2 linked regions of the Arabidopsis thaliana genome follow. The protein of the gene in region 1 interacts with the protein of each later gene in a pairwise test. Each region holds a gene or a part of one and is shown in the gene's direction. Other genes may lie near its edges.

Region 1 (3,844 bases):
GACAACCATAAACTATGTTTTAGCATATATATGCTCTTGAAAAAAGACAAAAGAAATATATGCTCTGCTTATCGAAACTCCAAAGCAATGTAGCCAAAATCTACTATATAATGATAAAAAAAAAATCTGTTGTTATACTAAATTTTAGGCTGGACTATTAAAGCAACCACTCTCCAAAAAAATGCAAATGTGTGGATGTAGAGATATGTATCACTCACTGTATATTCCACTACTCTTTTTTTTTTTAATCAATGTACATTCCATTATAACATGGTGAGTGGATTCTTGAAAATATTATATTTGAAAATTCTTTCAAGCCTTTTAGAATAAAAAAATTCGCAATGATCAGAATCAATATTATTCCACCAAATGGACTTTTTGATACTTTTATTATCTCTATAATGCTAAAGAATATATATAGCAATCTATCTATTCATAAATATATTAATTATTTTCTAACTTTAACTTTAGGAAAATTTAATCATACCAGTTTGAGAGCACTATTGTCCTTTTCATTTAAAATTTTGAAAAAATTAATTTAGCGTAATGATAAAATTTTATAGAAAAATCGTTTAGGTATAGTGTTTAGCAATATAATTTTACACTCTGGATATTTAACTAAATCATTGTTATAATCATCAAATTTGATATACAAGTGCAATGTGCAAGTATATACTTGACATAAAAATTAAATGTCTACAAGACGCCAAAAAAAACAGCTGGAGACTACTTTTTATGATTTATAACTTGTACCTACCGTATCTCTTGGATTCTACTTCTTACGTACCCAATTATATCTTTGTAACAAAAAATAAACTATTTACTGTAATGATTTTTTATATTTTTTTTTGGACAAAAGTATAATGATTTATAGGCTGTGAATGGTGACCAAAACCGCACTTAAAACCGTATCGCAACAGTGCTGATTTTCATTACTATTTGAACCGCACCGCACTTTTTGCGTACCGCAAAACGCAGTCACCATTCACAGCCATAATATTAAAAATAATTTTAATAGAAAAAACAAAAGTCAAGGTGATAAGAGAAAAAAGTAATTTGCCCATTTCGGTTGCAGATAAATAAACATGGCCAAAACTAGTAAGTATATGACACGGAGGCTTCATGCTCAGTTGCTCACATTTAATTATCACTTGATAAAAATTCTCTAGTACAAGTAAAATGTTTTAATCTTTACAAGTATATTTTTTTTATGTAACTGAAAATTGTTTTAATCTTTACAATTATTTAGTTTCGAGAGAAATTGGGAGTTATAGATTAAGATAAGTAATATAGGTATAGGCTTATAATAGCTTCACGAACAAAGGCTAATGGCTAACCTTTAAATGCATTCGAATAAATAATGATTCTATATTTGAGCATCTAATCAAAATTTCTACGGTTGCCAACAAAAAAATAATTCAACTCCCGTAAATAATTTTTTATTTTATAATTTAATTGCATTTCTATTACGAGTTGACCAATTTCATTTGTAATATATTTACCAAAGTGATGATTAATATAAAATAGTAGGAATTCATGAAGAATATGATAAAATGAGTTATTCTAATTTTAACTATATAGTTTAACTCGTTCAAGATATTTTTAATTAGTATCATATATATATAATTTTAACTATATAGTTTATACATTTCAATCAGAATATAGATGGATGAATAATATGATAAGTCTAACTAAACTGTGTGTTATTGTTCATTAAATTAAATCAGATTTTTCGAATTCAGCAAAATAATTCCATCTATTATAATGAACGGATATATATTTTTTTTGTAGTATTATTTTAGAATCTACAAAAATATTACGTAAATTTGTAATAGTTACTAATTTTGATGTACGTGTCTACAAATATAGTAATTATCAACTAAAAGTAGAAAGATTCAGTGCCTAATGACATTTATGTGATAGCCATTAAAAAAAACTCAAGTCTATTAAATTCCAAATATACCCTTCTTCTCTTTCTTCTTCCTTCAAATTTTCAACTTCTCTCTTTCAAGTTTCAACAAACAATATCAATGGCGAATTCAGAGTCCTCCTCCTCACCAGTAAACGAAGAAGAGAACAGCCAGAGAATCTCAACACTCCATCACCAAACCATGCCTTCCGATTTAACTCAAGACGAATTCACCCAACTCTCCCAATCAATCGCCGAGTTCCACACGTACCAACTCGGTAACGGCCGTTGCTCATCTCTCCTAGCTCAGCGAATCCACGCGCCGCCGGAAACAGTATGGTCCGTGGTGAGACGTTTCGATAGGCCACAGATTTACAAACACTTCATCAAAAGCTGTAACGTGAGTGAAGATTTCGAGATGCGAGTGGGATGCACGCGCGACGTGAACGTGATAAGTGGATTACCGGCGAATACGTCTCGAGAGAGATTAGATCTGTTGGACGATGATCGGAGAGTGACTGGGTTTAGTATAACCGGTGGTGAACATAGGCTGAGGAATTATAAATCGGTTACGACGGTTCATAGATTTGAGAAAGAAGAAGAAGAAGAAAGGATCTGGACCGTTGTTTTGGAATCTTATGTTGTTGATGTACCGGAAGGTAATTCGGAGGAAGATACGAGATTGTTTGCTGATACGGTTATTAGATTGAATCTTCAGAAACTTGCTTCGATCACTGAAGCTATGAACCGGAACAACAACAACAACAACTCTTCTCAGGTTAGGTAATGATGAAATTTGGGGGAAAGAAAAATGTTTCTAAATTGGGGGAGTTTTAATTTTTATTTTGATTTGTAAAACGTTTTTTTTCTTCTCTTGAATTGTAATTTCCTTGTTTGATTTTATGGTTATGTTTTATTTTTTAAAAAAAATCAGTCTCCTGGATAATTGGAATGGTCGAGATAGGTTAAATTTAATAACATACTTGTTATATCATAGAATTAGGAATGATAACATACTAATTATAGTAGTTCGTTTATTCAATTGGTTGACAAGATAAATTATACAGGAATGATAACATACTAATTATAGTAGTTAGTTTTCTTTAACTGTTGTGTAGATTGTACTATTTTGTAGGTTATTAGTATTCTTGTTTTATTCAATTTTTGTATTTGAAATGATATATGCATGGAATAGATTTCTAGGTCAGATGGAAAAATAATGATATTTTTTTTGTTCTTCGATACATATTTATTTATAGCGTATGTTTTAATATAGTGTTGTGTGTAGTAACTTTTCATAATAAAACGAATAAAAGCTTAATGTCTGAAAATTGGCAGTATTTATAAGTCAATTTTGGCAATTCGTAAATTCGCAAAATTATTTGTTTTCTAGCGTTAATGACAAAAAAAAAAACCTAAAAAAAAAAACCGTTGCATTAGTTTTTTTTTTGTTCAATAATTTTTTTTATTTTTTTATTTACAATTTCGTTGTAAAATTTAATTTTTGTATTTTTGTGCTAATTTTGCTTAAGTTTTCGCGCTCCAGTAACATTATTACGTTCAAAAACTAATTACTGTTGAAGGGGAAAGGGCTTTGAACGACGAAAAAGCCCATTATAATTTGAACTCTTTTATTTTTCATTTTAAAATTTGGAGAGAGCTCACCATTTTTTACATCTAATTATGATCCTCCTTTTTTTTTCTTTTTTTTTTTGTCAATACACCTAATTATAATTATGTTATGGTCATCGCTTTGTCTGATGAGCCTGAGTGGCTAAGTGCCTGACCAACAAAAATAAACTGTACTCGATTTCTTTTTCCCGATTATTAGAGACTCCAGAATTGGATGATCCATCTTTTTTTTTTTTGATCAAAAAGATTGGATGATCCATCATGAGACAACACTGAAATACTTTTGTTACATAAAATCTATTT
Region 2 (4,579 bases), on another chromosome or scaffold:
TTGCAAGATTTAGATGCCTTTGTTCGTATGACTAATTTATATTTAGGACCATTAAATGAGCATTACGTTGATTCTGATCAATAGATTTTGGCTTCAGGATGGTTTGCCCGCGATCCAAACACCCTACGTCGTGTTGGCCATGTACTCTTGCAACTTCCATTTGCCACTCAACGGAATCCAAGGCAAATCATACTAGCTGATGACTGTTTTCAGCTGTTAAAGATCCCTGTGGATCGGATTACCCAGGTGGTGACCAAATCAGCTGAAAAGCTTTTTGGAAGTATGCCCTTTACTCTCCCTGAAGATCCTCCAGTCTCTGTTAGAAATTCTGATTATAATAGCATTATCTTGTTTTATATTTAGGACAATTGCTAAAGCATCAGAACTTGGAGACCTATTTTGAAACTAAAGTTCCTAGCTTGAAAGAGTTCGCTAGGACAAAAGCCATTGCTAACACGAAGGTCTCAACATCGAGACTACTGGCGAATGTGATGCAGCTCCTTCAAAGGTGTGCCTATTGTTTATTCACCTACAGAGGATGAAAATATCTTAGTTTTGAACACTCTATAACAATATTGGCATTGTAGGCACGAGTTCCTTCAAAATCATGGGGATTGGATCAACACAGTGAAGCCAGCCATTGATCCTGTGATTTTATCACAAGTGTGTGAGAACCCAGAACTAACCAATGAAGAGACTGAGAACCTGAATGCTATCAGAAACGAGACTCGAGTGGCTATTGGTTCACTTCTCAAGGTATTCCTGCTCTTCCATGACATGTCCACAACTTGAGCGAGTTAGTTTATATGTCTCTTGACTAATCTCTAATGGTTCCCAACTCTGTAACGTTATGTATCAAGGATGATGGCATTCTGGTAATTCCAACATTGCCAGCTGTTCCTCCAAAACTTGGTAGCAAGGAGATAACATCTGAAGACTATCAAAACCGAGCTTCAAGTCTGCTTAGCATTGCTAGCATATCAGGATGTTGTCAGGTTAAATCTCTCTCTTTCTCTCTCTCACCTGCCATGCTAGTAAAGTTCCCCTCACACATGTTAAAAGCAACCACTGACCAGTCAGTGTTAGCAAAACCAATCCACAGTATATGTGTCTTACATTTATCGTGCTGATGATTCAGGTGACTGTGCCACTCGGACATCATGAGAAATGCCCTATTTCAGTTTCTTTCATAGGAAGACACGGTGGTGACCGCTTTTTACTAGATACAGTGCAGACAATGTATCCATCTTTGCAAGAGTACTCGAGTATTGTTACCGATCCCAAATCTTCTAAAAAGGCTATCACCAAAGAAGAGTCAGCCGAGATTGCCAAAGAGAAGGTCAATTAATATCCATTGCATGTCTCATTTTCTTAATGGCATTATCATCCATAATCTAATGTGGTTATTATATCTTTGTGTCCCGTGATTATGTAAACCAGGGTAACCAAGCGTTCAAAGAGAAACTATGGCAGAAAGCTATTGGTCTATACTCAGAAGCTATAAAGCTAAGTGACAACAATGCTACCTATTACAGTAACAGAGCTGCTGCATATCTTGAACTTGGAGGGTAAATGTTTCTCAGATCCTTAAAAATACTTTTTAGTGAGCAAATCTTTCTATGTGGCATTGCCTTGACAAATCATTTACATACAGCTTTCTTCAAGCCGAAGAAGACTGTACCAAAGCCATCACCCTCGACAAGAAGGTAACTTTCATTAAAACACAGAAACAGGTTTCTCTTGAAAAAAAAACACTCTTTACTTTGTAAGAACACACAACACAAAGATCGTTTTTGATTTCTTTCAGAATGTTAAAGCCTATTTACGAAGAGGAACCGCAAGAGAAATGTTAGGCGATTGCAAGGGAGCCATAGAAGGTAAGCTTTAAAGAACATAATCTGATTGTTTTTTCGCCTTGTAGAATCTGGCAGAATATAACATAAACTCTGCAGATTTCAGATACGCACTTGTGCTGGAACCAAACAACAAACGAGCGTCTCTCTCAGCAGAGAGACTGAGAAAATTCCAGTGAGCTTCTTTTGTCCGTACCTCACCGATCATTGAGAAAACGTTTGTTCCTTAGAATTTGTCCAAGAGTATAGGCCAATTTTGTCAACACTTGTCTTTTGCGTCTGATATTTAGGCATTTTATCTAGAGATACCTTTTGCAAGTCCGCCGAGAATGGAAAATTATAATATCCGATGTTTATTTTAAACGTTCTCTAAAATTGGATATCAAAAAGTAATGTTAATCTTAAACACCGGATACCGGCATTCCCGGTCGACTTCTAGTCAGCGTAGCGTCAAAAATAAGGTCATGTCTTTAACTATCTTGTCTTTATCATTTTCTTTTCTCGCACGTTATCTCCTCCCCACGACTCAAAAAAAATAAACAGAAAAAAAGAGGAGTAGAAACCAAAGAGACCTGCCCTAATATTTAGCGATGATAGTTTGAACGGAACGAAATCTGACGAAAGAAACTAAAGAGACCTTTGAATTATCTTCACGGGTGAGTTGGTTCGTTTAACCTTTTTTCTTTATCTCGGTTGTGCTTTTCCCCGAGAATTAAACGTGTGTTGGTTGCAGCGTTAACAAAAAAAAAGGGTTGTAGAAAGTGAGTAAGGAAGAAATAATCAGGAACATTAATAAAGGAAATGACAACGGCGTGTCCGGCGAGGACAAGCTCACTAATGGACGATCTCTTGGGCCTCCTTAGAATCCGTATCAAACGTGGCGTCAATTTAGCCGTCCGTGACATCAGTAGCAGCGATCCTTACGTCGTCGTCAAGATGGGCAAACAGGTTAATCCATTCATCATTTTACAACTTCACATGCAATTTCATTACATCAAAAACATTCTCAAATTATCATATTAAATCTTACAGAAATTGAAGACTCGTGTCATTAACAAAGATGTTAATCCAGAATGGAATGAAGATTTGACTCTCTCCGTCACAGACTCCAATCTTACCGTCCTCTTGGTACTTTTTACTTACTAAAACATACATTAATTTCCTTATCATAAGATGTTTATATTGATAAAACTATAATGTTATATGTAGACGGTGTATGATCACGACATGTTTAGCAAAGACGACAAGATGGGCGATGCTGAGTTCGAGATAAAGCCCTATATTGAGGCTTTGAGGATGCAACTCGATGGACTTCCTAGTGGAACCATTGTGACCACGGTTAAGCCAAGTCGTCGTAACTGTCTAGCCGAGGAGTCACGTGTCACCTGGGTCGACGGCAAGCTCGTCCAGGATCTCGTTCTCAGATTGCGACATGTGGAATGCGGAGAGGTCGAGGCTCAGCTTCAATGGATTGACCTCCCTGGCTCCAAGGGTCTATGAATCTTTTTTCTTTTCTTATTTACCGTTACTTTGAGTTGTTTTCTTTCAAATTGAACTAAACCAAGTAACAGCATGGAAAAAAACAAGTAATTTCAATCTTGAAGGATATAGTGAACTAGAAACACGTATTAATCCATGGAAATATAAGGATTAAGAACGTTGAGGGAAGTTTTGTTCCCATATGGTGATCGAGTCCAAGTCGAGTCGTGGTGGTGGATATGTAAATGTGGTGTATTGTTGATGTGTATGTATATTTGGGCTAGCTATGCCTTAAATAAGGCATTTACACGAACAACTAATACAGATATTTTATTTATTTAATTATCGTTCCATATACTTATGAATGGTAGATTGTTTTAACACATGTGATGTACTAATGTTTATAGGTAAAAAGTGAAAAAAAGACCAGCATATTACCATTTACCATCGACATCGATAGGCCTTTTTTAAACCATTGACATTGGAGGTTTTATGTGTACGTTACTGAAGCACAACTTATGTAATTTTTGTGAACAAGATTTACTTGTACATTAGCGCTAATTAAGGTCATAAAGAATAATGATGAAGAAAGAATAAAATATCGAAGGGAAAAAGCCAGAAGCCACAAAAGGGATGGTAGGTGAAGAGAATCCAGATGTACACTAATGAGTGAAGCACCATGGTTTTATAACGACAAAACACGTGAGCCATAATTGTCCTTTACTATGAGTGGCACGGCGACTTTACAATAATGTGTCAAACGACCGTGACAAGAGTGAAGTGTAGTACTAGTATGTGATATTTTTCTCTATTTAATAAAGTAAAAGATTCGACTGTAGTATGATAGTATTGAGATATATTCTAAATTATGTATAAAGTTTGATAGATCCCAAGGGACCCAAATCTCGTTCCCCAATGAGCGATCTAGAGATTCCTCTTCCACCAACTCCCCAAAGTAGTCAACATTTTTTTACCAAAACAACGATTTATTTGTAGAATAAAATCTGTCAACATATATATTGCATATAAATGCAATTGCAAATGTAGTTAAAAATATATATAAACCATAACTTAAAATGAGTGACAGCACAACATTAACTAAAATACGCTTATTATTATTACCGGTTTTGACCAAAACAAAAAAAATGGAGATATTTGTTTAATTACCGACTGATTTGATTTTACAGTCTGTAAAAAAGGCCGAAGTCGAAGGTAACGCCACCGTTTTCCACCTATAAAAAAGGGCG

The links.
Region 2: the proteins of PYL1 (region 1) and C2 interact in a protein complementation assay, tested with the Arabidopsis thaliana proteins (one study listed by BioGRID).

Annotation. Positions count from the first base shown.
Region 1 is NC_003076.8:18,982,915-18,986,758, reverse strand, and holds PYL1 (PYR1-like 1), read left to right. Parts: upstream 1-1,841; 5' UTR 1,842-2,030; coding exon 2,031-2,696; 3' UTR 2,697-3,219; downstream 3,220-3,844. UniProt on the Arabidopsis thaliana protein: Receptor for abscisic acid (ABA) required for ABA-mediated responses such as stomatal closure and germination inhibition. Inhibits the activity of group-A protein phosphatases type 2C (PP2Cs) when activated by ABA. Can be activated by both (-)-ABA and (+)-ABA.
Region 2 is NC_003074.8:6,149,763-6,154,341, forward strand, and holds C2 (Calcium-dependent lipid-binding (CaLB domain) family protein), read left to right. Parts: upstream 1-2,299; 5' UTR 2,300-2,509; intron 2,510-2,586; 5' UTR 2,587-2,654; coding exon 2,655-2,801; intron 2,802-2,885; coding exon 2,886-2,981; intron 2,982-3,062; coding exon 3,063-3,353; 3' UTR 3,354-4,052; downstream 4,053-4,579. Other genes in the region: TOC64-III (translocon at the outer membrane of chloroplasts 64-III), read left to right, coding at 98-280, 364-508, 588-756, 861-995, 1,139-1,339, 1,441-1,568, 1,655-1,706, 1,808-1,877 and 1 more. UniProt on the Arabidopsis thaliana protein: Mediates the transient calcium-dependent interaction of PYR/PYL/RCAR abscisic acid (ABA) receptors with the plasma membrane and thus regulates ABA sensitivity. Stimulates the GTPase/ATPase activities of YchF1, and regulates its subcellular localization.